7 linked regions of the Cricetulus griseus genome follow. The protein of the gene in region 6 interacts with the protein of the main gene of each other region in a pairwise test. Links are inferred from orthologs where the notes say so. Each region holds a gene or a part of one and is shown on either strand. Other genes may lie near its edges. The genes, in order: protein FRA10AC1 homolog, Meox2, Ehhadh, Zbtb8a, Csnk2a2, Trim41 and Gpatch2l.

Region 1 (4,005 bases), on a different chromosome or scaffold from region 6:
TTATTATTGTGATAAAAAATACATAACCATCGGGGGAAAGGGAGCTTTCTGTTCTGTTCCTAGATTATACTCAACCTCCTTCTCTCATTCAGTCTAATATTATTACAAATAAAGAAATTGTGGCATCTAAATTAAAGGTTAAAAAGTAGAATTTATCACTTATTATTACAAAATATAATAATTAATGATAAGGTATATAAAAATAGTATATAATGTTTATAAAATTAAGCCCCAACAACATTGAGGTTTCAAAAAGCAAACAAGAAATCAGAAGGGCAGGCATAGTGGCTTACACCTATAATACCAGCATTCAGGAGGCTGAGGCAAGACGAGCAACAAGAGTTCTTGGCCACCCTGGGCCACAGAGTCAGGCAGTGCCTTGAAAAGAGAAGAACAGAAATGAAATAAATAAACTAAGGACGTTTTCAACTTTAATATTCAAAGAAAACACAAGCCATGTATATTTTCCATGCATTGTAACAAGACATGAATATTTAATGTTCAGTTTTTAAAACCTTGGTAGTAGTCTCCACACTCAAACACATGCAGTCTGAGCTGTCTCAACTTCTGTGACCACTTTCTTAAGAAACAGTGATTTCACTGATCAGATTGTAGTCTAAGAGACAATCAGAACATGAAATTGAGATGGGGGAGTCCAAATATCTCAAGGCCTGGGTTCAAACTCTTCAACTACCACTAACTGGGCATGCTATTAGAGCAGCTAATTTTCCCCTAAGGATCTAGGTGACAAGTTCTTCAGGCTTTTCAGTTTCATGTCTCTGCTGTTACTGCTGAGCTCTACTAGTATAACATGAAGCAGTCAAAAGCAGCAGGCAGGGTTGCGTTCAACACAACTTCTTCTAGGGCAAAAACACGTCAGTGGGAGACAAGCAAAGGCACACTTCTCCCTATTCCTTATGCTAACAACTCCAACTTTAGGCATTATATCTAAAAACAAATACAAGCTTGTGAAAGGTGGTGACTGAAAGACACACCAGGAACTGTCCTTATGCTGAACTATATTCCCCAAGCTTTCTTTCTGCCTCATCTATCCCAGATTTAGAAGTGAGGCTAGCAACTTGAAAACACTAATAAGCATGCACTGAAACAATTACAACAGCAGCGTGCTCTCCCTAACAACCTGTTCGCCCTCACCAACAGCCAACTCTCCCTAACAGCACCCTGCTCTGCCTAACAACAGCCCACTCTCCCTCACCTTTAAAAGGCTAAGAGTCATTCTAGGACGATCATTAACTGTTTTTGTTGTTGTTTGTTTGAGACAGGGTCCCACCATGTAACCCTGGTTGGCTTGGAGCTTGCTATGTAGACCATGCTGGCCTCAACCATGCGGGCCTCAAATCCAGAGATCTGCCTGCCTCTGACTCCTAAATGCTGGGATTGAAGGTGTGTGTTACCACACCCAGCAAGACCACTAACTTTTAACATAATTACTCCTCTGTAGCAAAACATCCCAGAAAAAAACACTGGGGTCCTCTGCCATCCATGCCAGAAAAATAGGACCTATACTTTTGTTCTCCTAACGCCCTCAATGAAGGTGTCAGAGAAGAGAGAACATATGTTTAAGCCAAGCTTCCAATGGCCTGGGAGAGGACACACAGAAACACCTCAGCTTGGCCTCTCCAATTCTCTAATATCGACACAACAGTGTGATGTCAGTGTAGCAGTGCCATGAGCCAGTCTGACTGACTCACAGACCAGACAGTCTCCAGTCACACCTGAGGAACAGAGTGACAGCAGGCCTAGGATGGCACTCAGGCAGATTTAATTTTAAAAGAGAAGCTTTGCAGAAAATTTAAAATAGTGAAGAACCAGGTGTGAAGTGAATAAATTAAAATGATATTACAGAAGACAGGAACAGAAAAGGGAAATTTTGAAAGCCTGACAAGAACAGCCTGGAACATCTCCAAGTTCATGAACTTTTTAAGTCTATTTATAGGGAAAAAAAAAGAAACCTACTATTTTTCATTATTTTACCTCTAAATTTTTCCTATATATTAGCAATAGAGAATTATAGCTGAAAATCTAAATGGTAATAATACTAGCCTGTAAATATAAAACTGGTCTATCTAACTTGACAAGATTTTGATTTTTAAAAATTAGAAAACACGGTTAACAAGCAGATTTTGAAATAGTCTATCAGTTATAAAGACAGGACTATAAAAAGGATACAGCATCCATAGCTATGAGATGAAACCTTCTATTTCTCGCTTCTTCCCTGTTAAAAAAAAAAAAAGTTAACGTAAATTCAAATATCCAATGTTTTGCCAACATAATCAGATCCACTTGTCCTGAGATTATAAAACAGCTTAAACCAAGGAATGTCCTAACACCGAAACACCACACCTGTCCAGCAGGTCTGCCGCAACTTGCTTATGGACCACCTTTCCATGTTTTTCTTTTTGAAATGGTTTTGTAAGCAGCAACTCATCTTCGACTGTCCTAGTGTATTAAAAAGAAAAATTAAGTGTTAATTTTTCACATGCCCAGGATTGCTTAGAAGCATTCTACGAGTGACCTGCATTTCAGCTGTGACAGTTTGAAGGTGAAAGTTTCCTGTGACTACACCTGAACACTTGGCCCCACGGGTAAGCTGCTTCAGGATGGTGGAGCCTTGCTGGGAAGTGGATCACTGCAGATGGATTGAGGTTTTATAACCTGGGCCTCACTCATAGCTGCTCTTGGTTTCCTGAACACAGACTCATGTCCAGCTACTGCATGCTTCTGCCTCCAGGTGTTTCCCCTCCCTGACTGTACCTCTTTGTGACCCCAACTCCAGGTGTTTCCCCTCCCTGACTGTACCCCTTCATGCCCCGGACTCCAGGTGTTTCCCTTCCCCGACTGTAGCCCCGTGCAGTTGTTTCTTGTGAGGTACTGGTTCACAAGAAAAGTAACTTAACACCTCAGCTCAAAGAATTAGAGACTTAACTTTAAAAGACTAGCTGATCTTTAACGAGACATTCTGAATCTTAATTCTATTTAATACTTATAAAATGGAAAAGACAAAACAAAATGGCCGGTTCTAACCAGCAGGTTCTTGTCTCAATCATTTACCACCCTAATCTTATTATTAGGTTACTTATCTGTAAAATAGGAATAATGAAGATTTAACAAAAAAAAATATGGAAAAGAAAGTTTGACTATAAGGGAGACTTACCACAAATGATCAACCCTATTGATGATGTAGATAAACTGAACCCTAGACCATAGTACCGAAGTAAATTTGCTCAAATTCTATTCTTGGGGACTGTACTTGGGACTTCATGTAGCCTAGGCACTCATTCTACCAACTTAATTACATTCTCAGATCAGGAAGTAATGTTTTTAATGAAACTCTAGAAAACATACATTGTTATATTAATTTATAATTATTACTATTCTTTTTGTTATTCATGAAGACTGATCTCATAATGTTCAGTCCTAGTTAGTAAACATATTAGTCTTACTGTGGAATAATACACCAATTTCTCTAAGTTCCATTAGTACGAATCAAGCACTCCGACGTTAACACTTATGAAGTTTCTAAGCACTGAAACCTAAGATCAATGCCCCTCCCTAAACACAGCAACTTGGTGAAAATATAGCCTTCAGCTGGACAGGTAGCTCATACCTGGAATCGAAGCACTTGGGAAGCTAAGATAAGGAGATTGAGTTTAGGATAGCCTGGGCCATATAGGGAATTCCATGCCAGCTCAACTACATATGAAACCATCTCAGAAAACAAAAATGACAACAAAAGAATATGTCTTCCTTGTGACACCCAGGCTTTTGTGCTAGAAGATCTTGGTCCCTCAATTCAATAAAACTTCCCATCAGTTCCCTCCATTGACCTTCTTATTCAAGTAAACATCACCACTGTTCTAAATTACAATTCACCCTCCACATGGACCTCGCTTGGAAGGCAAGCACTTGCAAGTAAACTCCTTTTAAAGCTGTGACATTTGCAGGCATAGTCTTAACAAATGAAAAACAAACAAACAAAACAGA
Region 2 (4,129 bases), on a different chromosome or scaffold from region 6:
AGGGGCTGGGTATGTTCTATAATGTGTCAGCAGCAGTTGATAGTAAATGCAACAGAAGATTTGTTTTGTCTGTGGTACAAGAATATGTCCTACCAGACTCTACTTCATTTTATCTATTGAACACAATTAAGCACATACTCATTGTCTCTGACTGACAAAGATGTATAAAAATACAAAAAGCTGGCCATGGTTTTAACGGGAAAGCCTATTTTCATTAGCTATATGAATGCATTTGCTAAAATTAGTGAAGACAGGAAAGTGATTTAGGGGTAGTATATACAGAGTTTGAATACATTTTCTATCCACTTGGTGATTTCAGGCACTGTGGCTGTTCAGGATGAACGATTTCATGGGTTAACTTAATAGCAGTTTAATTTTCAGTGCAAGCAAAAGCAAATACCTGCCCAATGTCACACACATGACCTAGTACAACTTAAAAGTTCCAACCATTTTTATGTTTAACATCTTCACTCTGGAGACATCTTGATTAAAACTTCATATCAAGTTTGCTCTTGGTAGCAATTTAAATTTCTGTGAACGCCAAAGCAAACACTCATCTCCCTCTCTGTCATATATAGAACAAATGTATTTGGAATACGTTAACCTTCTCCAATTTCACTGAGGAAGCATCTTCCATAAGAGGCACTTCGTGTAAACCTATCAATCATGAGAAACAAGACTGGAGATGCCTGCATTTAATTATATTAAACAACACTGCCACAGTCATCTGCCATGTAAACGATGTTTGGGTTAGGCTTGCCATCACAACGGTGCTTTCCTGAGAATGGAGCTGGTCTCTGTATACATCATAAGTGTGCATGCTCCGAGCTGTGGTCACTATCACGACTGTCATCATTTGCTAGTGAGTCCCCTGCCTGCTGGAGGGTGGCTGCACCAATCCCCGACAGCTCTGATGGGAGAAGTGTTCCCTTTTTCACATTCACCAGTTCCTTTTCCCGAGCTGCAGCTCCTTGCTGTCCTCCTTTGACCCGCTTCCACTTCATTCTCCTGTTCTGGAACCACACTTTCACCTGGAAGGAAAGGGAATAAATAAGTCAAAGAAGGTAATGAAACCTAGATCCCCAAGGGCCTGCACACAGATGTCATGATTACGGAAACCATTCAGCCTTGCACTGAATCAGGTTGCATGTGCATGAAAATCGAAAATGTTTAGACAGTCCCGACAGAATCTTCATTAATTCTAACAAATGAAAATAGATAGAAAGAGGTGGAGAAGCTTGTTTGCAAGCACTAGGCTGAAGTTTATGAATGAATGAACACATTATATTCATTATATTCATCTCTGCAATTTTGTTTACATATACGAATATATATCACGACCCTATGTTTCTCCATGCTCTGAAGTTCTTCTTTGACTTGGCCATAGAGTTCATGCTGGTTTATTTGGTGACAAATCTGTCCCTGAAAGGGTGCTATTCATTACAAATACCCTCTGACTTGTGATGGCAATAATCTCAGCAAACACATTCCCATCAACGGAAAAATTATAATTCACCTCACTAAAAGTCCAGATGCTTTTTGATTTTTAATTAATTTTCATTTAAATTGAAAACAGCCTTATTTTACATACCAACCTCAGTTCTTCCTCCTGTCTTCCCATTGCAACCCACCAACCTTCCATCAACTCTTCAGGGAGGATGAAGCCTCCCATGGGGGACCATAAAAGTCTGTCCTATCATTTGGGACAGGACGTAGGCCCTCCGCTGTATATCTAGGCTGAGAAAGTACCGCTCCATAGAGAATGGGCTCCCCCAAACCATTCATTCACTAGGCATAAATACTGGTTCCACTTCAAGAAGCCCCATAGACTGCCCCACACACACCCACGTTCGGGGACCTGCTTAGGTTCAGACTTGGGTTCATGAGTTCCCATTTGCTCAGGTCAGCTGTTTCTGTGGGTTTCCCCAGCATGGTCTTGACCCATTTTCTCATCACTCCTCCCTCTGTACAACTGGATTCCAGGAGTTCAGCTCAGTGCTTAGCAGTGAATCTTTGCTTCTGTTTCCATCAGTTCCTGGATGAAGGCTGCATTTAGTCATCAATCTCATTATAGGGAAAGGGCATTTAAGGTAGCCTCTCCACTATTCCTTAAATTCTTAGTTTGGGTCATCCTTCTGGATCCCTGGAGTTTTCCCTAGTGCCAGACATCCCATTAAGCCCATAATGGCTCCCTCTATTAAGGTATCTCTTTCCTTGCTGTCCTTCTCTGTTCTTCTCCCAACTTGGCCTTGCTGAATTCCACATCTGACAGAGGGCTATTCTACAAAATATACAAAGAAATCAAGAAACTAGCCACCAAAACACCAAATATTCCAATTAAAAATGGGATCCAGATCCAAATAGAGAATTATTAATAGAGGAATGTCAAATGCCCAAAAGGCACTTAAGAAATTGCTCAACATCCTTAGCCATCAGGAAAATGCAAATCAAAACAACTCTGAGATACCTGTCAGAGTCTGTCAGAATGGTTAAATCAAAAACTCCAAGGACAGTTTACCCTGGAGAAGATGTGGAGAAATGGGAACACTCTTCCATTGCTGGTCGGAATGCAAACTTGTACAGCCACATTGGAAATCGGAATGATTGTTTCTCAGGAATATGGGAATCAGTCTACCTCAAGATCCAGCAATTTCTCTCTTAGGCATATATACAAAGGATGCACATTCATATCACAAGGACATCTGTTCAACTATGTTCATAGCAGCATTATTTCTAATAGCCAGAATCTGGAATCAACTTAGATGCCCCTCAACCAAAGAATGGATAACAAAAATGTGGTGCATTTTCACAATGGAGTACTGCTTAGTGGAAAACAAAACAATACAATGAAATCTTGAAATGGATGGAACTAGAAGAAACCATCCTGAGTGAGGTTACCCAGACACAGAAAGACAAACATGGTATTTACTCACTCATAAGTGTGTATTAGACACAAAGCAAAAGATAACCAGCTTACAATCCACAACCCCAGAGAAGCTGGGAAACACAGAAGACCCTAAGAGAGACATACATGATCCCTGGAGAAGGGGAAAGGGACAAGATCTCCTGAGTAAATTGGGAACATGAGGGTGGGAGGACGGAGATAAGAAAAAGGAGGGAGAAGGGGAGGGAGAGGAGAACATGAGTGATCAGGAAGGCTTCTTATTTTATGGAATAATGCCACAATAAAGTTTGAATGAAGAAAAGTTTCAAGCCTACTTTTGTCAAGTTGGGGACTGTCTGTGGGCATAATTGCTGTGCACTTGCTCTCTCAGTGTTCTACAGGAAGCTGATTTTCCTTACTTGCCCCCTTTGTGCTCTTGCCTTTATTAACTTCTAATTTGTAAACACCATCTAACAGTGGATGCAAGATTCGGGCACAATAAAAGTTCTCAGCATTTACCCTGTGACTTCCCTGGGTGGACGATGACCCTTCATGGAAAGGCTGAAGCAAATGTGATGATGATTCTCAGTACAATGATAGAAAGCTCCCCTAGGTTAGTTTCCTCGTTGGCTCAGTCATGATTTCATGCTGATTAACATATTCACCAAGGTTTAGATTTGTTTGTATTATTTTTCCTAATAAATGACTACTGATTGTGCTTTTATTTTGCCTTTTAAAAAATAATCTTTGCTACAGTAAACTATCATGCTTATTATCCCTTTGCTTCTTTTGTTAGGTATTTTTTCCTCATTTGCATCCAATTACTTTATAGTTCTTTTGCATAAATAGACCATCCACTTCCCATGACTCCCTTTTTCCTGTGTTATAACTCATGGTAAGCATTATGACTTCACCAACTACCTACACCTTTGTCAAAAATATATTTCATATCTGACAGAAAAATACCTTACTCTTATTTATCAAAACTATTTTGAACATTTGTCACATTCTGAATTTATACTAATACACAGTGCTCAGGGGAAATCATGAGATGTGTGTTCAGCTTTCAAAGATGTTTGAATATTACACACTGAAGCTAGTGGCCTGTTTTCAAACATTTGCACAGTGAATTATTAGATATATCTTATCTCTAGACTTTCATTTGTGTCACTTTAAGTAACCATGGAAATCATCATATATCATATATTGTACATGCACATATTTATCTATTTAAGAATACAGAAT
Region 3 (4,660 bases), on a different chromosome or scaffold from region 6:
AACAAGGGATTTTAATTAATTGTCAAAAAAGAGAATTAGACAAGTTACCATACCTCATTCATGTAGAAAGAGATAACTTCTTATGTAAAATTAGAAAGAAAGAAGGAAAGGAGGGAGGACAAAAAAATTAAGGTCCAAAAAAAAAAAAAAAAAAGGAAGCTGTTAAGTTGGTAAACAATTTACGTGCCGTTAAATTTCAAAGTAAAACAGATGGGAATGTGCAGGGTCCAAGATGAAAAATCTCCACGAGGCTGAAGCAGATGTTGAGAAAGGGGGCCACGATAGGAGACTGATCACAGGCTGCTCAGAGATACCAGGAGAACCACAAGTGTAAAAGTCATTTACAATCTCCATTTCATTTAACCCATGGGACTTTTTATGTTAGGTACTTACATTTCTCCAGATTGGGGAGGGAATGAGCAGGTTAAACACTAGAAACGTATCTGACTGTGGACCTGAGATTGGGACATTCCCTCTCACCTCTTGATGGACATAGACATCCCTGCAGAATCTTCTATCTAGTAACCATATCAGTATGCAAACACCCCATGTGGATAAGGAATCATATTGCTTATGCTTTCTTCGTGAAAACACACGCGGCACCTACTTCCTGGTCTCTGGGCTGAGATCAACTGTGAAATGGACATAATCAGTATTTTACTTCCACCCCCCCCCCAAATGGCCAGCAAGTGGATACATATGTGTGTGGTTTTATTCCTGCATACTATTACTCTATCAATACATACTGCATTTGTATTAGTGAATGCAATCCTTCACATTAAAATAAGGATAGTATCAAACCAGGTTAGTAGCACACATCTTTAATCACAATACTTGGTAGGCAGAGGCAGGTGGATCTCTGTGAGTTCGAGGCCCACCTAGTTCACTGATCAGACAGGTCTACACAGTAAGATCCTGTCTCAAAAGAAATTACATTAATAATAAGGATAAAAATTTGACCTCCGTGGGCACTAGGCACGCATGCAGTTCACAGACATATGTGCAGGTAAAACACCCATACACATAAAATAAAATAAATTTTAAAAAAATTTAATATAAAACCTAATGGCAGTGTGGTTTAAAATGAACATGTCTCCTCCTTTCTGTTTTTTGTTTGTTTGTTTTGTTTTTGAGACCAATGTTTCCTCCTGCCTCAGGCTCCTGAATGCTGCGATTACAGGTGTGTGCCAACCCAGCATCTGTTTGTTTTGCTCCAGCAGCTTGTGATGGGAATTTTCACCAAATGACCTATTTTCACTTTATTTATTCTGCTTTTACACAGCTATTTTTCTGGGATTGAAGCATTCCTTCCTGAAGGAGGAGAAAGGCTAAGGTTCAGGAAACTGAAGAAACTGACAAGATTCTGGAAGCTAAATAAATTTACCGATGTTTAAGATGCCCAGGAAGCTCAGAGAGTTGCAAGATTCACACACACCCCACACCGCCCCAACCCCTCACTTCCGAAGTTACAGGAGCAGAAGCAACTGTGGGGGGGAGAGAGGGGGGGGGGGGCGGGAGGGCGTCTGTGCAGTGGAGCTCCCCTCCAGGTCTCTGGGAAGGGCTACAGGTAGGAAGGATTAGGGGAGGAGACTCCAGCACAGTCAAACGGAACTCGTCGTCTTTGCCAGGGAGGATTGCTTTCTAGTGTGGCTGCCCTAAGGCCACCCATGCTTCTGCTCCTAGCTCCCCCCTCACTGTTCTGAAAGTTGGCCGAATAAACCCATTGGTTCCCCCCAGAGTGAACTTGTCTGGAATTGCTTCTAGGGTTGTCCTTTGGGCTGTAGGAGGTCTCCCCCAGGAAAGGGATTTTAGCAACATCTCAGGTAAATGTTGCACACTATCGGTCATGATCCCGTCCACCACTTCGGCAGTCTGCGTACGGGTAATTCCTCCTGAGGCTAATAGAGAATTATACTCTGTTCGCCAGTGATATGGAATGAACAAGATAAGTCAACTTGTTCATTTTCCAAAAAGACAACAGATCTCACTTTTAAAAGCAATGTGCTAAGGGCATTGCACCCAGGGCATGGCCAATGAAGTAAACAAAACTTCAGCTTTTCAGAAAATGCTATGCAGCAGCCTCCTCTGACAGGGAGCTTGGAGCTTGGAGACCCACTCTCTGAGTCGGGTAACTATAGCTTTGGGCTTCACACAGAGAAGCTAGGGTTGCTAGCCCGAAGTAGGGTTGCAGAAAGCCACGCCTCTGTAGGTTCCTGAACCACTAGAACCAAGCAGACTTGAGCGAGCTGTGAGGTTGACAGCGGACATAAGGAAGGCCGGAGCCAGCTGCTCATTGGCAGGTCCTTCTAGGGAGGAGAGCCCCGACCCAGACCCGCCACACCCCCTGACCCGGTGCTGTTACCTGATGGCGTTAACCGGAGGGTTGCAGAGGCGGATCATCGCCAGGGAGTGAGGCAGCCTGAGATACTCAGCCATTTTCTCAAGGTATCCTGCACCTCTGATGTCTGGGACAGCCGGGAGTTCTTTTCTGGGCCGCTCCGAGAGGAGGGGCACGCGCTGGACCAATGGGAGTCGCCGCCACCGCCTCCTGCCCCTTGCACCACATGCTCCCCAATGCTGGCTGCGCTCCAGGGAAGGGTAGTCCTCCTAGGCTAGCAGACAGAATGTCGAAAGGCATGCTGAGCTGCTGGGTCTCACAACTGGAGTCAAACACGTGTTCCGAAACCAATCATCTGCCCCGGCACGAAGCCCCGAGTGCCCGGTCTGCCTGTTCCTCTCTGGTTCTGTCCCCGTCTAAGGGCTGGGATTTCTCATACTTCATCCATGAACTGCACACCTATTATGAGCTGGACGTAGGCTGGATACTGACAATAAGCCATGCCTTGTTTCTTCCCTCTCAAAGCTCAGCCTGGACAGGGTCCTTCCGATGTGCATGTTTTTCATGGTTGCCAAAGCCCACCAAGTAGCCAGAAGACAGTGTACAGGTGGACAAGAAACACACACACACACACACACACACACACACACACACACGCACGCACGCACGCACGCACGCACACACACACACACACATACACACACACACACACGTAAATCTTCACTGATGTTTCCCAAGTTTTAACAAGGTCGAAAGATTATTTCCAGACATGTTCTTTACTTCTTGAAATTAAGAAAGGGTTTAGTTAGTAGAAAAATCCTGAGTGCCCTGGAAGCCCTGGTAACAAGTTGCGTTCAGAGGCATGGGAGCCCCCACATGTCAAGGACAGCCCATCACCCAAAGCACTCCTTCAGGTGTCAGCGATGACAACAGCCTCATGGGAGCAAGCGGCTTCAGACAAACGTCGGGAATCTCTATCTACTACCTCTCAAACCATGCCTAATCTGTAGACTAACTAGTCCCCAAACTCTCCTAGTGTGTTCTGTTGGAGAGAGTCTGCATGGCCAGCCCAGTTCTCCCCGCCTACAGGAGCAGTAGCTTCAGCTTTGTCCCCCTTCAGATGCTGGTAACTAGGAGAACACACTCGGCCACAGTATCCTAGGAACTTGAACAGGTAGAGTTCAAGGTTTAATAGCACTGACTGGCCTTATTGCACCCCTCCGCCTTGGAGCAGGGGAAGATAAGCATATTTGGAGCCAGCTTGTGACACTTTGTCCTCTTCATCTTGTAGGAATCAGTCACTGGCCATCGTGTCTCTACATTTTTTATTTTAGTTGAGCCCAGAGCTTTCTGCTGTGGCTCCCACAGTGGGATCTGGGTGTAAGCTTCTATGTAAATCTAATATACTGCTTGGGTGTTTAGAGTTGGCGACTCAACAGGGACAGGACCTATGTGAGGCAAGTGAGACCTTCAAGGGACAAAGTTCAAAGGGCAGTTACTATCAGGTTCACCCAGTGCTATGCCTCAACAACAGGATCACCCACAGTCCTATCAATTAGTCCCTTTGTAAATGTAGCACATTGAGAGACCATCGGATACAGCTGGGTGGTAGCATGTTGATTTTTCTTTTCCTGCTAGTACAAAACTGTATGCATGGGTTCCATATTTGCTGAGTCCATGGATGTGTAATTTGCTAGTCCATGGATGAGTAACTGTGTTGCTGTTTGAAGACTGCTTGACTATTTGATAGTCTTTTGATTATTGGTTTGATCTGCCATATCCTATTATTTTACTTGTCTTATGAAGTGCTTGGCTACTTCACAGGATCTCATTCCTCTTGGGTAAGCACTGCACACTATCTGCATGTCGCCCTCTGCTTAAGTACATTGCTTTCACTGTAGCAACTACATTATCTTGAGTCCCCAGTTCCCGAACTCATCTCAGGTTCATTACTGCTTCAAAGAAATCATTCTAAGCACTGGAACTGCTACAGTGCCCAGAGGGTAAATGGTGAGCCCTATAGAAAATCCTGGACTTTTACCTGCTGGCCCATGCAGGTCTCTATCCATGGGAAAAACACAGGTGGCTTCTTCTCCCCATCTCAATCTGTCAGGCAAAGAATCCAATTAAGTCTCATTGAGAAGAAGGAAAAGGCTCATGGGTCACGAATGATCCTTCTCATTTTAACTCTGCAGTATGTAATTTTTCAAATGTGCACCAAAAACAAGAACATAGTAAAACAACAATATCCGTATGTGGCCATTGATCATTGTTGCTCTCCTGTGTTTTATAGTAATTCCACTCACAAACTACGGTGTTTTG
Region 4 (2,982 bases), on a different chromosome or scaffold from region 6:
GAACTCACAGAGATCTGCCTGTCTCTGCCTCCTGAGTGCTGGGATTATGAGACAGGGTTTCTCTGTGTAGCCATGGCTGTCTTATAAGTCAATTTGTAGTTCAGGGGAAAAAATTTTTAACTTTTATGTTTTACCTGCATGTATGTTTATACACCACTTGAGTGCCTGATGCCCACGTATCAGAAATAGGTGTTAAGACTCCCTGGAACTGGAGCTACAGATGGTTGTGAGATGCCATGTGGGTGCTGGGACTCAAATATGTGTCCTCTAAAGAGACAGTACTCTTAACTGCTGAGCCATCTCTAAAAGCCCCTGGACTTGAATTTTTTTTTTTTTCCCCCGAGATAGGGTTTCTCTGTGTAGCTTTGGAGCCTATCCTGGCTCTCACTCTGTAGACCAGGCTGGCCTCGAACTCATAGAGATCCGTCTGCCTCTGCCTCCCGAGTGCTAGGACTAAAGGCGTGCCCCACCAACATCCAGCTGGACTTGAAAAAAAATTTTTTTTATAAATACATATTCAGGATTTCTTTTCTTTTTTTTAAAGACTTTATTTATTATGTATACAACATTCTGCTTCCATGTATATCTGCACACCAGAAGAGGGCACCAGATCTTATAACGGATGGTTGTGAGCCACCATGTGGTCGCTGAGAATTGAACTCAGGACCTCTGGAAGAGCAGTCAGTGCTCTTAACCTCTGAGCCATCTCTCCAGCCCCTGGACTTGAAATTTTTAATACATTTGCTGGGGCCTGCAATTGGGTAGCCAGACTCCCAAATTCAGTCTTGCCTGATTCCCTGTGAGGTTTAGTATTATAACATACATGCTTTTAAAATACATTAACATTTTGTAGGCAGGTTTATTGGTGGGTGAAGGTAAGGGGCCCTGCCACCAAGAATTCCATCCCACATGGTAGGATTTTCTTCTGGCTTCCTTCCAAACACAGGCTCCCCTCCTCCCCAAAACAAAATGAATCAATAAAAATATAATAGAAAAGATTGTCTTAAAGTTTTGTGATAGATTAATTTAAAATATTTTACTCAAAAATGTTTGCTAAATAGATTTTTCCAATATTTAAACAAAATGCCATCTGTGTAATAACAGAAAGGGTAACTGATCATCCATCATGCCAATACAAGCAAGGTCTTCCCAGAGCAGCAACATAGTTCAGGGCAACCAAGTTCAGAGTGGATACAATGGCCTATTCAAAAAGCATGCAAGTTACACCAGGTCACTTCTAAGCCAGCCGGAGAAATCCATTAACCGGGCTCTGCCCATGGAGAGATACAGGACGTCCATGTAAACTGCAGGCAGGCCAGCTCTGAGGAGTCGCACTTCAGGCTACCTAATGTTGGGTTTGATTTCCTTCTCCTCTTCTTCCTCACTATCTTCAACCTGTTTTATGACCAGATCGGCAGACCCGTCCTCCACAATCTCCACGTAGGATCTATTCTCTTCCTCACTCAGATGCCACCTCGAATCCTTATCTCCATCTGCGGGGGACATGCAGTGTTGCTCAGCTTCCAGATCAACAGGGAGGCTGTCGATGCCAGCTTCAGCAAGGCACTCGTTACACAGTCTGTAGCGCCTGGTTCCTTCCTGCACCACCTGGCCTGTGAGGTCAGTCACGTGACGTTTGCATTTCCTGCAGATTAGTTTGCATGCCTGATGGATCTGTATAGAGATTTAAGAAGTGATTAAAATAAGTTTTCAGCTGGGCATTTCATTGGTGGCGCACGCCTTTAATCCCAGCACTCGGGAGGCAGAGGCAGGCGGATCTCTGTGAGTTCGAGGCCAGCCTGGTCTACAAGAACTAGTTCCAGGACAGCCTCCAAAGCCATAGAGAAACCCTGTCTTGAAAAAACAATAAATAAATAAGTAAATAAAATTTTCAAAAGTGTGTCAAGTTTGCTATTTTAGGGACCAGTTCATATTCTTCAGATGCTCAAAGCCATACATTAAATTCAAGTTAAGATCTAATTATCAGAAAAGATCCCAAGATATTGACAAATGCACACCATGGACACATCACATATCAGCTTTCTCTAAAAATGACTATAAGGTTTTTCTTTAAATTATTTTATTATATATACAGTGTTCTGTCTGCATGTGTTCCTGCAGGCCAGAAGAGGGCCCCAGATCTCATTGCAGATGGTTGTGAGCCACAAAGTTAGATGGAGGCTGGATAGATGGCTCAGCAGTTAAAAACACTGGCTGCTCTTCCAGAGACCTGGGGTCAATTCTCAGTATCTACATGGTATCTACTCATAACCATTTAAAAGTTCAGTTTCAGGAGACCCAGTACCCTCTCTGGCTTCTGAGGGCATCAGGCATAAGTATGCAATATGCAGACAAAACACTCATACACATAAAAATTAAAAAAGAAAAGCTTTTTAAAAGATTTATTTTTTAAAAAAAAAAGAGGACTGGAGAGATTGGCTCAGTGGTTAAGAACACACATTGTCTTTCCAAAGAACCTGAGCTCAGTTCCCAGCACCCACACTGGGCAACTCACAGCTGCCTTTGTAACTCTAGCTCTAGCTGTAGCTCTAGCTCTAGAGAGAGGGAGAGAGGGAGAGGAGAGGGAGAGAGAGAGGAGAGGGAGAGCTAAAACTAAGTTTTTAAAAAAGCTTTATTATGTATGCAGTTGTATACAGTGTTCTGCCTGCACGTATGCCTGCGTGCCAGAAGAGGGCAACAGATCTCAATATAGATGGTTGGGAGTACGGTTCCAGCATCCCAACAAAGTGAACAATGTGTGGTCATGGACAACCAGTCCTCCAATTAGTAAGTGCTTCCCAGTGTGACATGTGAAATATACAACATTAGCCTTGATATGTCCTGGCCAAAAGTGTTTTATCTGAATCTGTTAAGGATATGGATGAAACTTCAGTACGTAGAAATGCAGGGTGGGTAAAGGAGTGAGCTAAATAACACTAAGTAGAAGCAAGCAAATTCAGAAGTAAGATATTTTGTAAAATA
Region 5 (4,005 bases), on a different chromosome or scaffold from region 6:
GGTCTAACTTTGGGGTTCACAAAGATGGCCCATGATATGTATGGAAAAGAAGACTTAAGAGCTGTGAGTGTTTGGATGGTGTCAGGGAGTGTATTAGATTTAAAAAAAAAAAAAAAATCTGGATATAGTGAGCATGCCTTCAATCCCAACACTCAGGAGTCTGAGGCAGGATATCAACTTTGAGGTCATCTGTGTGCAGAGAGAGGGCAGCCTGACTGATCTGTGTAACAATCAAAAGGAAAAGGGCTTATTAATTGAGACATTTCTTCAAAGGCAATATAAATATAGAATGATCAATAAACATGTAATGATAATTTGCTTCATCACTAATAAGGAAATACAAATCAGAAACACATGAGATACCACGTTAACGTACCTAAATAGCTGTAATTAAAAAAGGAACAGTGACAGGAAGTGGTGGTGCTTGACTTTAATCCCAGCACGTGAGAGGCAGAGGCAGGTGAGTTCGACGTCAGCCTGGTTTACAGAGCAAGTTCCAGGACAGGCTCCAAAGTTAGACAGAGAAACCCCGTCTCAAGGTGATGGATACCTTTAATCCCAGCACTTAGGAGGAAGAGGCAGGCAGATCTCTGTAAGTCAGAGCCAGCCTGGTCTATAGAGTGAGTTACATAGAGAAACCCAGTCTTGAAAAAACAAAAGAACAGTGCCAAGTGTTGTTGAGAATGTGGAAAGACTGGAACCATTGTGTGTTGGACTTGAGAAAACAGGCAGTTCCTTAGAAATTGTAAAGCTAACATACAACAAGGCACTTCTGCCCCTAAAAAAACTTACACACAGTTTGCATACTCCCAAAAAAATCTTACACATGGTTATTCATTGCAGCATTGTTCTCAACAGCCAGAAGTAGAAACAACCCAAGTCAGTAAACTAGTAAGTTCATAAATGATTCAGTCTCAAAATTAAATAAGCTCAGTGAGAAAGGTGAACAAAGTACTGTAGCATTAGGAATGTCTGGTAGGAAGAAATCTCTAGAACAGATACCCGATCCACCAGTGGCTTCAAGAAGCTTGGCGTGGGCATTATCTCAAACTCCAGGAAACTGTGAAGGTGCTGAAAAGCTCTGAAACATGGTGACTTGGTTATACAGCTGTCAGTTTACTAAAGATCATTGGCTTTTAACACCACAAAGCCTTTTGATTCTATTACAGGAAGTAGTTTTCTCTTTTAGAATAGTAATGATAATTCTTAAATGCTGGCTCAGGTTTTATGTTTACGGAAAATGTAAATGCTTCTTATCTGGAAAACTCATAGCCCACATAGCATAAGTGTGCCTTGTTTTAAGATACGTTAAGGTGTCATTCTTCATGCCCACATGGATTCTGAGGTCCCACACTCTGGCCTCTCATCCCTTCTTTTTAAAGCAACCTTCAGCATGATCATTGACAGCCCCCTTTCCACTGGCTGCCAGCTGTAGTGTCCACGGAGAGCATCTTTTTGTTTCTCTCCTTAAAGGCAGTAAGCTGTCCTTTTTTGAGACTGTTCAAGTTAAAGTGTCACAAATAATAAAAATGTGTTTGCGTTGTGGGTGGTAGAGGGTTTGCTTACTTTTCTCTGTGCTTTCTTACCTACTAGGCTCTGGATTACTGCCACAGCAAGGGAATCATGCACAGGGATGTGAAACCTCACAATGTCATGATAGATCACCAACAAAAAAAGGTACCAATCCAGCCAGGCAGCACCAAATCTTTGCTGAAGGTTTAGGAAAAACCTAAACATTGTCCAATAGCATTGTGGTGTATGTAGACCACACTGATTTCTTAAGTAGACTGCATTACTTTGACTTCTCTAGTCTCCAGGAAGTACACAGAGACCTTGACTTTGGTCACTAGTTTTATTTTGGTTTTAGTGTTCAAAGGGCCTCAGGAAGAAACTACATCAGTGGTCTCTGCTTTGATTCTTCGTGAGCATTAGACCAGTCAGACTAGCCCTAAAAAAAATACACTTGGGTGTTTCCAACTCTGGTTGTCATAGACAGGGTTAGCTTAGTGACCAACTAGAGCAGCACTCTAAGGGTGTGACTTACGTGGTCACACACGTAAGCCCTTCATTAGTGCCTGGAGCTTATGTTAAGAGCTATGAATGGTGGGGGCATGTGTTCCACATGTAAGTAGCATGGAGACCAGAAAAAAATTAAAAAAAAAAAAAAAAAAACAGTATAACTTAAAAGGGAAAAAACTCAGATATATTCCAAGTACTGTGCTCCATAAATGACCTCATCTGCAGTTTCTGAAGTAAACTTTTTCCTGGGTACACTGTGTGTGGCCGAATACCTGTTGTAGAGATGCAGTGTGGCCTCGTCATAGGCAATGGCATCTCAAAGTGCACCTTACCCATTCTGTTGGGTCTTTGTCTTTCTCATAGCTCCGACTGATTGATTGGGGTCTGGCGGAGTTCTATCATCCTGCCCAGGAGTACAATGTTCGAGTGGCCTCGAGGTACTTCAAGGGACCAGAGCTCCTTGTGGACTATCAGGTGAACTTATTAGTGAAGCTGCGCAGAGCTATTTTTATATTTCCTTAGGAATTTTCCTGGTTGCTGTGTGGTCACTTTGGATGCATTCAAAACCCAGTTATTCTACTCTAAAGGTTTTACTCAGCAACATTAAAAAATTAATTATTTTTATGCATGTATGTATATGTGCCACAGCCCATGTGGGAAGGTCGGAAGACAACTTGCAGGTGTTTGTTCTCTCCACCATATTGGTTCTTGTTACTAAACTTAGTTTAGTAGGCTTGACAGCCTTTACCAGCTGAGTCTTTTGGTGGCTTTTTGGGGTGGCGGGGTGCGGTGACTTAGTTACAGAGTAATTGCAGAGAGGCTGAGGATGGAACTTAGTAGTAGATGTTTGCCTAATGTGTATAAGGCTCTCTCAAAAGTCAGAGCTAGAGGTCAGATGTCAAAAGTCAGAGCTAGAGGTCAGATGGATATGAGAAACTTAATCAATGAGTGTCTAACTATCCTTGACTGATGGATCATCCTTCCTGCATTCAGATGTATGATTACAGCTTAGACATGTGGAGCTTGGGCTGCATGTTAGCGAGCATGATATTCCGAAAGGAGCCATTCTTCCATGGGCAGGACAACTATGACCAGGTGAGCAGATTCATCCCTTGCTTGTTTGTCATGAATGTTAGGGAAATAGCCTCTGGGGACTGTGTAAGCTAAAGGATTGTTCAGAATTGTATGAGTGAGCATGAGGGCCCCAAGCATGCCGAGACAGACAATGCTGCCTAGTGAACTTTCAAGATGGGTCTAAGAAGTAAGGCACTTCTTTATCTAACAAAATCACATTATAGTTATTTGATCAGTGTCCCCAAAGATGTTAGCATCTAAGTTATATCAACCCTTTAAAAGCAGTTTAGGGGGCTGGAGAGATGGCTCAGAGGTTAAGAGCACTGACTGATCTTCCAGAGGTCCTGAGTTCAATTTCCAGCAACCACATGGTGGCTCACAACCATCGGTTATGAGATCTGGTGCCCTCTTCTGGCCTGCAGGGATATATGCAGGCTGAACACTATATACATAATAATTTTTTTTTTTTTTTTTAAAGCAGTTTAGAAACTTGCATTCATGTGAGTGTTGTGTTCTTAAGTCTCTGTTTATCCTAGACTCGGGTCTCTGTTAAGTCATTTGGGATTTGAGTGGCATGGGATTTCCTGATTCCCAGGCCTAGCACAGTGTCCACAAAAGCTCACAGAAAGCACTGTGCTTGGTGGTTGGGTCAGTTTTGTTCTGTGTTTCAGCTTGTTCGAATTGCCAAGGTTCTGGGGACAGATGAGCTGTATGGATATCTGAAGAAGTACCACATAGACCTAGATCCACACTTCAATGATATCTTGGGACAGTAAGTAAGAAAGGAGAGGGAGGGAGGGAGAGAAGGAGAAAGGAAAGAAGGAAGCACTTTGCTCTACTTCAGAAGTGGTAAAGTTAGACAACATCCAGTTTCCCTTTTCTAACTTCAATATTGATATTTATTTACTTATT
Region 6 (4,005 bases):
CACTCCCAGTGATACACTTCCTTCAACTAGACCACAGTTTCTAATTCTCCCAAACAGTTCTACCAACTGAGGACCAAGTATAAGCCAAGTATTCAAATATATGAGCTTATGGAGAGTCATTCTCATTTAAAACACCACAAGTATAGCTATTTGGTAGTATTTACATTGTAGTGGGTATTATGAGACATTTAAAGTATATGGGAGGATATGCAGTTATTATGCCATTTTTTTTTTTTTATTATGCCATTTTATATAAGGGATTTCCACATCTGCTGATTTGGGTCTCCTGAAACAAACCCACTTGAATATCTAGAAACAACTGTACCTACAAAGCATTTTACCTTTTGGCCCCTAAGTGTATAATACTTGCTGTTTGCACCTTTACTGAAGAGTTTGTAAAGGGTGTGAATGACTTCTCCTATGGCAGCTGAGACTACTGAGAGTCAGGATTTAATTTTGTAGCATCTTCCTTTCATGTTTTGAGACAGGATATTATATTGTAGCCCAAACTGGCCTCAAATGTGGAATAATTCATTGTTTCAGCCTCAAGAATATTGGTATTATAGGCATGAGCCCTCATGTCCAGCTTTACTTCAAGTCTTGCTTCCTAAATTCTCTTATTTGTTAATTCCAAAAAATTCTTACCAAATACCTATACACTATGGTTGGCACTATGCCGGCCTTTGGTGGCACTGTGGCAAACAAAGGCATGCATAGGTCCTATTTGTGAGAGGTATGGCATAGAAGAGGATAATAAAAAGAAGATAATATTAAGCTAGGCATGCAGCTTATATCTTTTTTTTTTAAGATTTGTTTATTTATTATGTATACAGTGTTCTGTCTGCACATGTGCCTGCACACCAGAAGAGGGCATCAGATCTCATTACAGATGGTTGTGAGCCACCATGTGGTTGCTGGGAATTGAACTTAGGACCTCTGGAAGAGCAGCCAGTGCTCTTAACCACTGAGCCGTCTCTCCAGCCCACAGCTTATATCTTTAAACTAGCAAACTGGAGGTTGATGCCAGAGAATTGTGATTTTTGAGGCCAGCCTGGACTTTTGTCTCAAAAACAAAACAACTTTGCTGGCAAGAGGACTCAGTAAAGGAGTCTGCCATCAAGTTTGATAATGATAACTTGAATTTGATCCCAGTTACTTACGTGGTGGAAGGAGAAAACCAACTCCTGCAAGTTGTCTTCCGACCTCCATACATGTTCCCCCAGCCCATCTCCATTATAACATAGCATCTCCAATACAGTGATATGGAGTTGGTGCTGCACAGATCTGGAGAGAAGCTTCTTTAGAACATGTTAGCTTCCATTTAAAGAGTAAATTAGTTAGGGCAGAGAGAGATAGGTATTCCAGAAAGGAATTGGTGACTTTGGACCAGTGTGCCAGGTTTGCGCTATTGCACTGGCACATAAGACTGAGATGGGGAAGGAAACTTCTCTTTCCATTCTCAGAACTTCTTTGCCTGAGATTGAGAGTTAGCAGATAGAAAACTGCAACTATACCTTTCTGTGTATTCAGGTGGTGGCCTCCATTCCCTTTGCAGCTCTCCATTTGTTAATTTTTAAAATTTTACTGTATGGGTGCTTTCCGTGTGTGTGTGTGTGTGTGTGTGTGTGTGTGTGTGTGTGTGTGTGTATGTATGTATGTATGTATGTATGTATCCATTGCATGATTGGTGATCACAAAGGTCAAAAGAGAGCATCACTTCTCCTGGAACTGGTTACAGATGGTTGTGAGCTGCCACGTGGATGCTGAGAATCAAACTGTGGTCCTCTGGAAGAATAGACAGTACTCGTAATCAGTGAACTATGTCTTCATGCCTGCCTTTGCATCTTTTCAGAGTCAGATGAAGTCAGAACTGGCAGCTGTGGCCTCAGAGTTTGGGCGACTAACACGGTTTCTGGCTGAAGAGCAGGCAGGACTAGAGCGGCGCCTTCGAGAGATGCATGAAGCTCAGTTGGGACGGGCAGGAGCAGCAGCGAACCACCTTGAGGAGCAAGCTGCCCAGCTAAGCCGCCTGCTTGCTGAAGCCCAAGAACGGAGCCAGCAGGGGGGCCTGCGGCTGCTGCAGGTAAGCACTCTTGCCTCTGCCCTGCTTCATACTCCCCAGCTCCCTTTTTGTCCTATTAGGCAGTGCTCACCAGCCACTGCTCAGAACTGTCTGTTCCTCACTGGAAAGAACCCTAATTCTTTTAATCTGAAGATCAAACTTTTTCTTTCTTTCTTTTTTTTTTTTTTAAATATTGAGTATGATGCATGTGCCAGTCATACCTATAGAAGGCAGATTCAGTTGTTAGAAATAGGGGCTTAAGAGTTGATAGCTTGAGGAAGGTGTCTGGGTCAGATTGTGAAAATTCTGTTACTGGGGCTTACCGCAGGATGATATATTAGGTCTGGTGGTCAGGGTAGGTGAAGAGTGTTCATGTTTATTGTGATCCGGGAAGGTGCTGCTTTCTCCCTTCCTGTTGAAGCTCAATCTTTCTTTAGGGGACTGGGAGAGAGCAGTGAGCCTTGTGCAGCTGACACTTTCTCTTTTTCCCTCTCCCCCCTTTTGTCTTTTGTTCCCAGGACATCAAGGAGACTTTCAATAGGTATGTTACCACTCTACCCTTTGTGACCCAGTAGTGTTTGGGTCCCCACTCTTGCCTCTCTTGAGACTCCCTTCCTCCCTCCCTGTCTTCCCACCCTCTCCTTCCCTTCCTCCCAGGACCTAAGTTCCTGCTTCTTAGACCCTCCACTTCACCGCCCCCCCTTGGCTTTTGTTCTGGGAATATCATGTTCCCACCCCCTACCTGGTCCCCCCTCCTCCAGGTGTGAAGAGATACAGTTGCAGCCCCCAGAGATTTGGTCCCCTGACCCATGCCAACCCCATAGCCACGACTTCCTGACAGATGCCATCGTGAGGAAAATGAGCCGAATGTTCTGTCAGGCTGCAAGAGGTAGGGAGGTCAATAACCTTCCTTTGCCTTTCTTCTTACAGACCCGAGTTGAGGTTGAGGGAAGTTTGGGTAGCTGGGATGGAGTAGACTACTGGTGGCTACTCTGAGGGTTCAAGCCAAGAGTTGTTTCTATGGTGGCCCAGCTGTTTTTGGTAGGTGAGGTGCACAAAAAGCGACAGGGGAAGGCTGGCAGGTGGTAGAATTAGGATGAATGTTAGAACCCATAGATCCGGAGCTTGGCCCCCAATATGGGCTGAGAGCTTAAAGAGTTGAATGGGATTGGAGGGGATTATAGAGATGAGCCTGTGAGGGATAAGGTGTTTTAGCTCTGCTATATTCATCTTTCCTCTTTCCAAGTCGATCTGACGCTGGACCCTGACACAGCTCACCCAGCCCTTATGCTGTCCCCTGATCGTCGTGGGGTCCGGCTGGCAGAACGTCGGCAGGAGGTTCCTGAACATTCCAAGCGCTTTTCAGCTGACTGCTGTGTACTAGGGGCCCAAGGCTTCCGTTCTGGCCGGCACTACTGGGAGGTAGAGGTGGGCGGGCGGCGGGGCTGGGCAGTGGGTGCTGCCCGTGAATCAACCCATCATAAAGAAAAAGTGAGCTCTGGGGGGTCCTCTGTTAGCAGTGGGGACGCCAGCTCCTCACGCCATCACCATCGCCGCCGCCGGCTCCACCTGCCTCAGCAGCTTCTGCTCCAGCGGGAAGTGTGGTGTGTGGGTACTCACGGCAAACGATACCAGGCACAGAGCTCAACAGAGCAGACACTGCTGAGCCCATGTGAGAAACCACGGCGATTTGGCGTGTACCTGGACTATGAGGCTGGGCGCCTAGGGTTCTATAATGCGGATACCCTAGCCCACGTCCACACCTTCTCAGCTGCCTTCCTTGGCGAGCGTGTCTTCCCATTCTTTCGGGTGCTTTCCAAGGGCACCCGCATCAAGCTCTGCCCTTGATCAGCCTGCCACCCGCAGGGGCCCCTCCAGTCACTGCTGGGGGGGCGGGTGGTGGTGGATGATTGCCCACTATGTTTGTGAGCTCAGGCTCCTCC
Region 7 (4,005 bases), on a different chromosome or scaffold from region 6:
AGTCGCCACCTGCCAAATGACACATTCATACAGTGTTACCTTAAATTAGGTCTCATTATTTATTTGCATATATTGAAATGCTAACCTACAGTACTTGAGGTCACTCACCATACCCCAGTGGCCTCAGCTTACTCTGAAGTCCCAAGCTGTATGTGGTTTTTGAGGTGGCCATGTTCAGATGCTGAAGTCGAGCAGAGTGCAGACAGCAGTGTCCAGCAAGGAAGTAGCTCCGCTCAGATCCCTGACAGGAGGGAACCTTCAGAGCCCAGGCATGATTATTAGACTCTTTGTGCTCTTAAAGGAGAGTAATTATAGGCATGTGAAAAAAGGGAAGCACTCCCTGAGGAACTCTTCCTCACATGCTTCCCAGGAGGCACGAGGGCCATTAAAAATTCCATGATGAAGAGGAAAAACAGCCTGGGAACAGCCAGGAGGCAATACAGCAAATTAATACAGCAGCCCTCCTCAGGGAAAGCTGTGATAAAACAGGAAACACTTCTCTCTTTGCAAAATAAAATTATACCACTAATGATAACACAGTCACCACACACGCGCACAAATCGTTCTAATGATGGGTGTAAAATTCCCAGTGCTGCCCAGATGCTTTGAACAGAATTTCTTCTTACTACAAATAAAATGGGACAAGAAAAAGATAAAATCTCCATTGGAAACACTTTGTAATGCTGTCATTCAGCTACCTCTTCTCCAGCACTCTGCTCCTTTACACCCTCTCCTTGATGCAAGGCTTCTGCTAAATGGTCCACTCTTCTTAAAAGACTCTGCATGGTTCCAAATCCCATCATACAAGTCCCCCAACTAGAGTTAGATAGGTCCTGCTCCAATGACACCTTGCTGCATGGAGACCCATCACTATAAATGGTTGAGAGCTATCCCTAAGAACTCAGTGACTCTCACTCGTATTTTCTGAAACCTGCACCAAAGACACCTGCTCTAATCATTCTACAGAACAGCACCTTTCAAATCTTCCTGTGTCCTTCATTAAGTGAAAACTGCAAGGAAGCAGAAGATACTATACATACAATGCACACACATGTGGTATAAGCCAAACAGAGTTATATAACTTAAAACAGAGAAACTTAAGGATAAGACAATAACTGTTAACTCAAACTACCCCCGCCCCGACTTCAAAGAACCTGCACCCAGCCTACTAATCTGGGACTGCTACCTAAAGACAAGACAAAGACAACTGGTAATGGCCTCTATTCTCTCTCCTTTGCTTCTAGCAAGAGCTCAAAGCAACGGTAACACAGCTGCACACACTAGAAGTTTGGCTGAGAATTTTTAATGTTTCTAAGGCCACCCACAAATGCCACCAGTCAAGAGAGGAACCATAATGACAGAGTAACAAGATGCACAAAGTATCATGAATCTAGCTCTGGGTACTGGCCACAGAAGAGTCGGGGAGAGGCTTCTAATGAAGAAGAGAGAAATGCCAATGCTATTATCCTAAGTGTAGCCCAGGTAGCAGACATGGAAGGAGGAGGATGGAGTAATCCACTCTGTATGCTGGACTTATGTGGTACTGCTCATCTGGTCTTCCCAAAGAGCACAAACAGCTACTACAAATAGTATACAAAACACAGAGGTGTTCTTCTATGGACTGAAATCTAGACCCCCGATGGGTCTGCATTAGGAACTCCATCTCTGTGTGTTACGGCTTTCAGGCGCAAGTTTTTATCATAGCTATCAGTTTCTATATCTGATTTTCTCATGAGCGCTTCAGTTCTAAACAAAAACAAAGGTCTTTGCACATAGTAGAGAGTCAGCAAATGCTGAATGAATGGATAGATGAATGATAAACAGTATGATACAGGAGTAAAGGCCTACAATGGAAGTTTGTATAAGCCCCAATTCCACATCTTGGCAACACTATTTACAATGGCCTCTCCTTTTCAAAAGACTTAAAATACTTCTTCAGCAGAAAGATCTAGCAGTAGGTTATGCAACAGGGCTCATTATCCTAACTCTTAGTAACTATGCCCAAAGAACAGCTACTTCTTTGTGCAGCTAAAGCACAAGTCTATGAGCACATTTACTTATGAGGTGACTAATAAAAAAGCATCAGAAGCTGGGTGTAGTGTAACCCCCCTTCACTCCCACCACTTCTGAGGCAGAGGCAGGCAGATCTGTGAGTTTGGGGCCAGCCTAGTCTACATAGTTCCAGGACAGTCAGAGCTACATAGCAAAAGTGAGAGCTTGTCTCAAAAAACCAAAACAAAAACCAACCAAACAAAAAGCATCAGAACCTTGGAGAAGAAATTCTTCATGCTACCAAAACTAACAAGAGTTCTTTGGTCCAGACTGTTAGCTGTTCTGTGCACAATAACACTGCTAAGAAGTGCCATCATCACACCATACCTGAATTAAGGGAATCCATAATGACAAATGTGACATATACATACAGAATGCCTAACAAGTGCCAGATGCACATGCTGAGATTTATTAGGGAATCAGACAAGGTCTCTGCACTCTAGAGAAAGACAATAGGGTAGAGGTGGAATTTTAAATAAACTAGTACACATATTCACTACAGACAATGGTAAGACCTATGGAGGAAACAGATGGTGCTGTAGATGACCCCTTATCCAGGGGTGCAAAGAGGTTTCCAGACAACAAGAATGAGAGCAAAGGTCTGCCATTTTCAAAGAAGAAAAAAGAAAATGGAGCTCCCTGGTACTGCTAGATCTTTCCGCTCAGAGAAGAGACAGGACTGTAGGAAAGGAAGTTGGCCATGTTGGCGGAAATCAGATTATGCAGGGCTTTGCAGGTCATGGCAAGGGACATTAATACTGTTCTTTGAAGATGGGCTTTTAGCCGCAGAAATAATACAAAATATGAGCCAGAAGACACGACCATGTGATCACAGGAAAAATTCCTCCACTCTTAGCCTGTTACCACATCTGTGAAACATGGACTTACTTCTAAAGGTTGTTCTAAGGATCAAATCAGATCCTGTGCACATAATACCACACAATCTCAAGTGTTATGATAAGGAACACAGCACTTTCCAAAAGAACATAATCACCGCTGGGAGCCAATTACCTGGCAGAGCAGTGTGCAGGGGAACACCTTCGATGAGAAGCATCAGCAAGAACATCCAGGGAGTAAAGAGGAGAGAGAGGATTAAACTGTGGGGATAAATCAGATTATTTCAGTATAGCTTAAATGAAAGAGACCTGATTCCAAAGAGCAGCCTACATGCTCTCTTTGACTATGTCCAACCCTTCTGCCATAAACATCAATATCATTCAATAAAGTTGTGCATGTCTAACTTTATGTCCATAATTTCCCAGCACATAGCAAACAAAACTATTCCTTGTCAAGCAAAATTTTCATGCAATAATCACTTAAATGGCCAAATACAGTATTTCTTAATGGACAGTCTGAGAACCTACACTTAGTGATTATCCACTATGTATCAGTCTTTTCCCAAGAGGACTAGCATGAAATTACCTTTTCAAGGACAACTGCACAGCACATCCCAGGACACACTATAAGCACAGTGTAAACAGAAGGTGCCTAGAGTTAGAATGCCTAATTGAATGCACCACTGAGTTGCTTACATTTAAAAGTTGCATCACCTCTGACCTTCACTAGATTCCTCTCCAGGGTGTATCACTGGCCATCCTACTAGTCTTACAACAGGGTTACTGGCAGGGCTAACTCAAATACTGCTTTTCAGGTCCTAAAGTGATTTCAGTTTCTCACTTATTGACCCTAAAAGGTGACTAAGATGGTGAGAGGGCAGTGCATCCTAGAACCAAACAGGAACTGAGGATCAAACGGGGTAGTGTGTACAAAGCACCTCACTTTATGGTTGCTAGCCTTCTTTGTACTTTCCCACAATAAACAGTCCTTTGAAAAATGGTTAACTTTATGAATTAAGACTGAAAGAACTTGAGTGGTAACTTCAAACGTACTTAAAAGAACAGAAACTTAGCTAATACACATAGCTCAGCAACTTCAGGAAAATAGTTAAAACCC

What was found.
Region 1: the proteins of Trim41 (region 6) and protein FRA10AC1 homolog interact in binary tests that used the Homo sapiens proteins (3 or more experiments, as listed by UniProt). The two-hybrid records come from large-scale screens. The link is inferred for Cricetulus griseus from reciprocal best matches to the Homo sapiens genes TRIM41 and FRA10AC1.
Region 2: the proteins of Trim41 (region 6) and Meox2 interact in binary tests that used the Homo sapiens proteins (3 or more experiments, as listed by UniProt). The two-hybrid records come from large-scale screens. The link is inferred for Cricetulus griseus from reciprocal best matches to the Homo sapiens genes TRIM41 and MEOX2.
Region 3: the proteins of Trim41 (region 6) and Ehhadh interact in binary tests that used the Homo sapiens proteins (3 or more experiments, as listed by UniProt). The two-hybrid records come from large-scale screens. The link is inferred for Cricetulus griseus from reciprocal best matches to the Homo sapiens genes TRIM41 and EHHADH.
Region 4: the proteins of Trim41 (region 6) and Zbtb8a interact in binary tests that used the Homo sapiens proteins (3 or more experiments, as listed by UniProt). The two-hybrid records come from large-scale screens. The link is inferred for Cricetulus griseus from reciprocal best matches to the Homo sapiens genes TRIM41 and ZBTB8A.
Region 5: the proteins of Trim41 (region 6) and Csnk2a2 interact in a two-hybrid assay, tested with the Homo sapiens proteins (3 studies listed by BioGRID and IntAct). The two-hybrid records come from large-scale screens. The link is inferred for Cricetulus griseus from reciprocal best matches to the Homo sapiens genes TRIM41 and CSNK2A2.
Region 7: the proteins of Trim41 (region 6) and Gpatch2l interact in binary tests that used the Homo sapiens proteins (3 or more experiments, as listed by UniProt). The two-hybrid records come from large-scale screens. The link is inferred for Cricetulus griseus from reciprocal best matches to the Homo sapiens genes TRIM41 and GPATCH2L.

What each region holds. Positions count from the first base shown.
Region 1 is NC_048596.1:23,571,829-23,575,833, reverse strand, and holds part of protein FRA10AC1 homolog, read right to left. Parts: intron 2,461-4,005; coding exon 2,365-2,460; intron 2,237-2,364; coding exon 2,191-2,236; intron 1-2,190. UniProt on the Homo sapiens protein: May be involved in pre-mRNA splicing.
Region 2 is NC_048598.1:164,534,678-164,538,806, forward strand, and holds the end of Meox2 (homeobox protein MOX-2), read right to left. Parts: intron 1,032-4,129; coding exon 807-1,031; downstream 1-806. UniProt on the Homo sapiens protein: Mesodermal transcription factor that plays a key role in somitogenesis and somitogenesis and limb muscle differentiation. Required during limb development for normal appendicular muscle formation and for the normal regulation of myogenic genes.
Region 3 is NC_048597.1:67,140,965-67,145,624, reverse strand, and holds the start of Ehhadh (peroxisomal bifunctional enzyme), read right to left. Parts: upstream 2,996-4,660; 5' UTR 2,437-2,995; coding exon 2,363-2,436; intron 1-2,362. UniProt on the Homo sapiens protein: Peroxisomal trifunctional enzyme possessing 2-enoyl-CoA hydratase, 3-hydroxyacyl-CoA dehydrogenase, and delta 3, delta 2-enoyl-CoA isomerase activities. Catalyzes two of the four reactions of the long chain fatty acids peroxisomal beta-oxidation pathway.
Region 4 is NC_048595.1:23,683,481-23,686,462, reverse strand, and holds the end of Zbtb8a (zinc finger and BTB domain-containing protein 8A), read right to left. Parts: intron 1,675-2,982; coding exon 1,342-1,674; 3' UTR 600-1,341; downstream 1-599. UniProt on the Homo sapiens protein: May be involved in transcriptional regulation.
Region 5 is NC_048596.1:171,643,537-171,647,541, reverse strand, and holds part of Csnk2a2 (casein kinase II subunit alpha'), read left to right. Parts: intron 1-1,593; coding exon 1,594-1,677; intron 1,678-2,382; coding exon 2,383-2,493; intron 2,494-3,012; coding exon 3,013-3,114; intron 3,115-3,764; coding exon 3,765-3,865; intron 3,866-4,005.
Region 6 is NC_048600.1:63,465,307-63,469,311, reverse strand, and holds part of Trim41 (E3 ubiquitin-protein ligase TRIM41), read left to right. Parts: intron 1-1,852; coding exon 1,853-2,083; intron 2,084-2,580; coding exon 2,581-2,603; intron 2,604-2,823; coding exon 2,824-2,951; intron 2,952-3,308; coding exon 3,309-3,910; 3' UTR 3,911-4,005.
Region 7 is NC_048598.1:117,537,252-117,541,256, forward strand, and holds part of Gpatch2l (G patch domain-containing protein 2-like), read right to left. Parts: intron 3,513-4,005; coding exon 3,475-3,512; intron 3,150-3,474; coding exon 3,064-3,149; intron 1-3,063.